Linked DNA regions of Yarrowia lipolytica. The protein of the gene in region 2 purifies or fractionates together with the protein of the main gene of each other region. This does not show direct contact. Links are inferred from orthologs where the notes say so. Each region holds a gene or a part of one and is shown on either strand. Other genes may lie near its edges.

Region 1 (3,509 bases), on a different chromosome or scaffold from region 2:
CTTAACGTTGATCTTTCCCACTAAAGACTCGGGAATAGCCTTGTCTTCGCCACTCTCTCTGTTGATGTGCCTTCTATCGGCCTGCACCACAATAGAGGACATCTCCTCGCTGTAGTTAGTAAGTGATCCAGAATGGCGTTTGTCACACAAAGCCGAGTCATATCACACCATCCCCTCTAATACTCACTATTTGTAACGAGACATGTCATTGTTGTTCGACATGATGTGCTTGGTGTCGTGGGTGTTGCGTGAAGGATTTATTTCAGCGTAGATGTGCTTATTTTCTGAACCATATGCATAACAAGATGTTAAAATTGGGTGGTGAGCCCACAGTGCAGCAGGGTCAATTTACAAGTAGAATATACTGCAGATTCTACGACAGATGCTTGTACTAGCCCGAGTGCGTGCCTTCAAAAGGGCAAAAAATGATAAAATAAATGGGATAAATTCTTTCTCACTTACTATTCACCATGTTTCTCTCGCAACATTTTCCACAATCACTTCAAGCTCACCCAATCTATGTACTGTACTCCTGCTTTCTACTCATTCTCAGAAAACGACGGCTCGTACATTAGTAATTACATTCTACTCTACTTAGTTCTTAAAGTAGTAGTCCTCGGAAGGGATTCGGCCTCGGATCACAGGAGGCTCGGTGCCGGGAACGTAGATATCCTCAAACAGAACCTTGGCAGTAGCCTCGGGAGCAGGGTCGGACTCAGCAAGGGCAACCTCCTTGTCAACCATAGCTCGAGCAGCCTTGTCCACAGACTTAAGCTCGTCCTCAGTGGCGAAGTTAAGCTCCAGGATGTGGGCCTTGAGACCAGAAATAGGATCGTTGTGGGATCGCATGTACTGGATCTCCTCTCGGGTTCGGTAGGTGGTTCCGGGATCGGACATGGAGTGACCACCGTATCGGTAGGTCTCGAACTCCATGACGAGGGGACCCTTGCCGTGTGTGGTCCACTCCTTGGCGAACTTGGCTCCCTGGTAGACGGACAGAATGTCCATTCCGTTAACCTTGAGACCGGGAATGTACTGACCTCGCTTGTAGTACTGCGTCAGGGCAGAGGATCGAGCAGCAGCGGTACCCATTCCGTACTTGTTGTTCTCGCATGCAAAGATGCAGGGGAGGTCCCAGAGCTTGGCCATGTTGTAGGCCTCGAAGATCTGACCCTGGTTGGAAGCACCGTCACCGTACAGGGCAAAGGTGGCCTTTCCGGTCTGCTCGAGGTACTTGTGGGCGAAGGCGAGACCAGCTCCGACGGGGACCTGGGCTCCGACAATACCGTTTCCTCCGTAGAAACCCTCGGTGAACATGTGCATGGATCCACCCTTACCGTAGGAGACACCGGTTCGCTTTCCGAGCAGCTCGGCGATGATTGCTCGGACAGAGGCACCTCGCATGTAGGCGAAACCGTGGCATCGGTAGGCGGTGATGACAGAATCGTCGTGGTCGATGGCCTTCTCGATACCGACGGCAACAGCCTCCTGACCAGTAGACAGATGGCAGAAACCTCGGATCTTCTTGGCCTTGTAGAGGGCATCAGCAGCCATCTCGAGTCGTCGGACGGTCACCATGTCCTTGTACATTTGCAGAAGCTCACCCTTGGTCATCTCGAACTCGAGAGGAGGGGGAGAATCAAGCATGTAGGTGGTGTAAGAATCCTCCTTGAGCGTGATTGTGCATTTCTGGGGTTAGTATACGGTCGATTGAAGCTGTTTTGCCACGTTTTGTGATGGATTGCTGGTGGGTGAGGAATAATTTTTCCGGGTGCATGCGTTCCTAGAGGTTCGATTTTCTCTAGGCCCGTTTCTCATTAACAATCTCAGCAGCGTCAACGAGACGCCACCGCCAGGGGTAATGGCATCCGTAGAATCATTTCCGAGGGGTCCCGCGTCGATGGCATGTCTGTGTCGTCCGTTTCGTCGTGTTTCGTGAGGCGTATGTTTCGGAAAAACTCCCTGTAACCCAAATCCACGACACCCCAACGCAATGGGCGAAAAAAATACTCACCTTGTCGGCATCGTCAGCGATGGAGTATGCTCGGACCTGGTGGCCGAGTCGGCTGGTGAGCCGTGTAGATCGTCGAGCGGCAGTGAGCATGGTCAATTGTCTTGTTTTCACACGGACTGGATTGAGAAAAGCGCCACTTGGATGAAGTTGCAGGTTCTATCTGTGTGTTGTCAAGTGAGGAGAGTCAATTTTAGGTCTGCTATGGGCACCACCACAACCCACTAATCGCTCACACCGGAGAAATGTCCCACCAACCTTATTTTTCTGCGCGGATATTGAGTACTGTTGAGCGTGTGGGGGTCTAACAGAGAGAGAGGGAGGGAGGGAGGCTAAGCAAGAGAGTGGTGATAGATGGTACGCATATTGGAGAGAAGTGATGAAAGAGGAGAGCGCACGATACTGTCATAGTTATAATACTATGATTCGGTCTCTCCACTGGGATTTCGCTGAAACCCCTATATTCTCTCTCGCGTTTTTATTTTCACCCAGTAGCCCCAATATACACCTCCTGTCACACATACATCAAACGAGAGGCTCCCATACGGCTGTTGAGCTCGCCGACTGGTTGGTGCATTTCTCGTGGGTGGGGGGCCAACCTGGCTTACTCTATACAGAGATATAGCCCCAATTGAGACCGTGCCTGGGAGCAGTTGACACGGCACAATTTCTCGGATCTGTACTTCCTTGTCAATGCGTTTGAGTCAACAACTTGTGTTTGCTACGATATATATCTATCGGCTATCGACTTACAACAGTTCAGCATTCCGAGTTGGGGCTGAACACAGCTCAGCATTCAGATAGGGTGGGTGCCTTTTCGCTTTGGCTAGTGTCGTCTACAAGTAGTCCGACCAATCACAACATCGTACTTGTATTTTCTTGGATCATTAGTTGAACTGAGAGCCCATTTTCAACCGTTGCTGAGACCTGCTGGTGTGCCCAACAGTTATCTCGGAGGGTGAGCGAGCTCCCAGATTGGCCATTTCGAAAGACTGCCTTGAAGTGCCCAATACGTCAAATTACTCGTACTTGTAGCTTGCATGAACGCATCAATGTGCAGCTCGCTGCATTTGTGGCAAGTAGTCTGGAAAATCTTTTCGTATATCGATACTGTTTTGGGATAATATTGGTTGTCTGTCCATCAGAGCATCTGTCTCTACCCCATTCGCCATGTTCGTACCAGTAGTCTCCGGTGGAAACGGTTTCATCCAGTTCTAAACCCTCCTGTCTAACTCCGACGACGTCAGATTTTTCGCTACAGTAGCTCAAAGAATGCATTCAACAGCTCGCTATTGGTATGTCCGAAATGTACTGGTAGGAAGAGAGAGAAAACTTTAGCCTGGGAAAAACTTCAAGAGCTCCCTGGGATCCTTTAGCGAGGAAAGTATTCGCGACCACAAAAAAAGGTCACCTGACTCTACACCCAAGCCAAGATAGCAGATGGATATTAAAGTGTCAGGATCTACAGGGATACGAGCTGTGAAAATCAGTCTCATCT
Region 2 (3,567 bases):
TCGGAGGCACCTACATGACCACCCTTAACACAATTTCCAACCTGGGCGGTCTCTGGCCAAAGATTATTGTTCTCAAGGCTGTCGACTGGTTCACATCCGCCACCTGTACACCCAAGGCTGGCAAGACCTTCGCTGCCTTCTCATGTGTGGCCAAGGAGGCCAAGAACATGTGTGAGCAGAGTGGAGGTATCTGCACCATCCAAACCGATGGCTACTACATCACCTCGATGCTGTGCATCACCATTGGAGCCACGCTGTTCTTTGGATGGATTTACAAGAAAATGCGCTTCCTTGAGTCGCTCCCTATTTCAAGCTGGAGAGTTTGAGGCTGTATATAGATACATTAGACGAATAAAATATGAAAGATAAATGTTTGTACGAATAATTAGATATGCTTCAGTCACTTGTTGAATTGCGTTAAATACGTTAATCATACTCTACATAAGCTCCTATCCGTGCAATAATTACTGTATGTACCTACATGTTGTAGCTGGAGCGCTCTACTCCTCAATGTAGAGGGCGTCCTTGGCAGCCTTGACAACAATCTCGGGTGTGGGGAAGGCGAAGTTCTCAAGCTCAATGGCGTAAGGAGTGGGAACCTCAGCTCCGGTAACTCGCTGGATGGGGGCATCAAGGTAATCCCAGGCCCAGGAGTCGTTGACGACACCACAGAGCTCGGAGCCCATGCCAAAGGCGGGGAAGCCAGCCTCGACAGAGACAAGTCGGTTAGTCTTCTTGATGGAGTTGAAAATGGTCTCAGTGTCGAGAGGCTTGACAGTTCGCAGGTTAATGACCTCGGCATCGACGTTGTGGTGCTTCTTGAGGAGGTCGGCGGCCTTGAGGGCGGTCTCGACGTTTCGGGAGTGACCGACAAGAGTGATATCCTTACCCTCTCGCTCAATCTTGGCCTTTCCAAGGGGCAGAACGAAGTCGGGGGACATGGCCTCCTCAGACATGGGGAAAGACTCTCCGTACATGATCTCGTTCTCGAGGAAAACAGTCACGTTGGGGTCTCGGATGGCGGCCTTGAGCAGACCCTTGGCATCCTCAGAGCTGTAGGGAGAGACGACCTTGAGACCGGGAATCTGGCCGTACCACCCGGTGAAATCCTGAGAGTGTTGGGCAGCAACACCAGCGGCGGCACCGTTAGGACCTCGGAAGGTGACATTGCACTGCTGGGTACCTCCGGACATGTAGTAGGTCTTGGCACCGGAATTGATGATCTGATCAATGGCCTGCATGGCGAAGTTCCAGGTCATGAACTCGCAGACGGGGGTGAGACCGGCCAGGGCGGCACCGACACAAACACCGGCGAAACCCATCTCGGTGATAGGGGTGTCAACCACTCGCTTCTCGCCGAACTTGTCGAGAAGGCCCTTGGTGACCTTGTAGGCACCGTTGTACTGGCCGACCTCCTCACCCATGATGAAAACATTATCGTTTCGGTCCATCTCCTCTCGCAGTGCGGTGTTGAGGGCGTCTCTGACAGTCATCTAGGTTAGTACGTTGTTTTGGGTGTTGTCATGTTGATGTTGTTGGAAGTGTACAGAGCATTGTACAATTGCGACATAGCAGGAACGCAATCAACGGCTGAATCGCCGAATCGCTATTTCACAATTGGCACCTACAGCTTTGATAACTCCGGCAGCTCCAGACACGGAGTGCAGTTACAGCATGAGGCTGAATGTCCGCGTCACAATGATGATAAAATGGGTGCGTTTCAGGAGTTGCTGAAAATTTGACTGGTGGCAAATATCACTGAAAGCTCGTCACTCCATTGTGATCTCTCTCGCTATAACCGTGTTTGCTTCTTCTGCCATGTCTTAAGTCCGAAAAGCACTGTTTGCTGTTGATGAACACCCGTTACACAACGCTCGAGTTGCCCCATTCAGGGCGCATCGCGAAGCCGCAAGCGCACGGCCGTCGTGTATATATCGTGTCGTTCACACAAAAAATACTCACGTTAGTGGCGCCGCCTTCGGTTGAGGCAGCTCGGGTCTGGCCCATCATTCGGATGGCAGCCTGCTGGCCAGCAGTGGGCAGCAGAATCTGCTTGGAGGCGGGCTTGAGAACAGAGGTCTTGGCGGTGGCGGCCAGACGGTTCAATTGCTTGATGGCAGACATGTTTGTGGCTTGTTGCTGTGGGACCGAAAAAGATCTCAGATATCGTTTGTCGATGAAGAGTCTTGTAGTGAGAGATTTAGCTCGGAGGGGCGGTTGAGAGTTATTTCCCAACAGAATAGAGCCTAACCTGCTGGCGGGTCACATAACCCGGAAAAACTTTTCGAGCTAATTTTCCGAGTGCTCAGCAGCGCGTTGCGCGGAAGTGGAGTGGAAATGACGGTTATAGAACGACTCAATTCCCAGACTGGATACACTGGCAATGTTTTGTCACACATTTTTGGTCAAAACAAGCGCAACTACCTTGGTATTACAACGTTCTAGTGACACGTCCACCCGGACTAATTTAGGTTGGTCCCCCACGTCACACAGAGGACTAAAGAGGAGAGCCTACTGCTGTGTACACGAGAGTGAGTGGCTATTGGCGGTAGCAAAAATGGGGGTCCAAGACGAGCGTAAAGCTCAACACGCTCAGAAGTCCGATTATCGGAGCTTGGAATTACTAACCAAGACGCACATGTCACGTGAACACAATATAATACATGGTGCGTCCCTCGAGGATCTACCCTGTTGGTGTCTACTATCGGAATAATCTAGATGCAAACATAGCTATGAGCTTCAGCTATACGGGGGCGTGGACTGGACGTACGTACAGAGCAGGTGTACAGCAGTAAATATGTACAAGTCTGTAGGAAGGGAGCAAAAACCACCAATTGAACAGTGTGCGGTTTTGACGTGCATGCATACACACAAGAGGCACTGCTTGGTGTTGAGACAGCAAGTTGAGATAGGAGCGGGCAGTAACATATTAGATACAGGACCCTAAGTGCCTGTACTTGTATATCTAATGTGCGCTATGTGCAGTGTCTACTGTATGTATCCCAATTGTACATCGCCAAGTAACATTTTACATTGTACAGTACAGTAATGACTTTCAGTGTGTGCATTCAACGATCATTTATTTCCCACATAATTACAGTAGCCCAACATGACTACTTAATATTAGCACAACTTTTGGCTGGGTGAAATTTCTGACGTCAACGGCGATTGGGAATGTTGAGCTTTAGCCAAGTACAAATACAACAGTTGGGCCATATCGGCTACGCAAATCCGCACGAATCTATGCTAATACTTTCGTTATAGGGCTTCTGTTAGAACAGCAAGTGTTTTTTGAGTACCAGTGGGGTTGTCTGAGCGGGTGTGCTTTGCTACAACTCCTGATTGTTGTTGTGGGAGTGCCTTAAATAGGCATCTGACCCACCCGCTTGTAGCCAAACATCTCGCCGATCTTGAACCAGAGGTTTCGAAGAGGATCGACGACAATTTTGGCCAGCGAGGCGCCTCGTCGCTTCTGCTCACCGCCCTGGACTTCGTTGGTGCTGGGCAGAACGTAGTCCGAGGCACTGAGGGAGATGAAGAGTGAAAAGGGCACAAGCCAGATGCAGA

What was found. The genes of interacting proteins can lie anywhere in the genome.
Region 1: the proteins of YALI1_E31947g (region 2) and YALI1_F27556g purify together in Saccharomyces cerevisiae (affinity purification with mass spectrometry; 4 studies listed by BioGRID, with this or other methods). This does not show direct contact. The link is inferred for Yarrowia lipolytica from reciprocal best matches to the Saccharomyces cerevisiae genes PDB1 and PDA1.

Annotation. Positions count from the first base shown.
Region 1 is NC_090775.1:2,754,210-2,757,718, reverse strand, and holds YALI1_F27556g (uncharacterized protein), read right to left. Parts: upstream 2,105-3,509; coding exon 2,015-2,104; intron 1,690-2,014; coding exon 595-1,689; downstream 1-594. Other genes in the region: YALI1_F27574g (uncharacterized protein), read right to left, coding at 1-109, 188-222. UniProt on the Saccharomyces cerevisiae protein: The pyruvate dehydrogenase complex catalyzes the overall conversion of pyruvate to acetyl-CoA and CO(2).
Region 2 is NC_090774.1:3,193,278-3,196,844, forward strand, and holds YALI1_E31947g (uncharacterized protein), read right to left. Parts: upstream 2,125-3,567; coding exon 1,963-2,124; intron 1,494-1,962; coding exon 501-1,493; downstream 1-500. Other genes in the region: YALI1_E31919g (uncharacterized protein), read left to right, coding at 1-326; YALI1_E31974g (uncharacterized protein), read right to left, coding at 3,362-3,567. UniProt on the Saccharomyces cerevisiae protein: The pyruvate dehydrogenase complex catalyzes the overall conversion of pyruvate to acetyl-CoA and CO(2).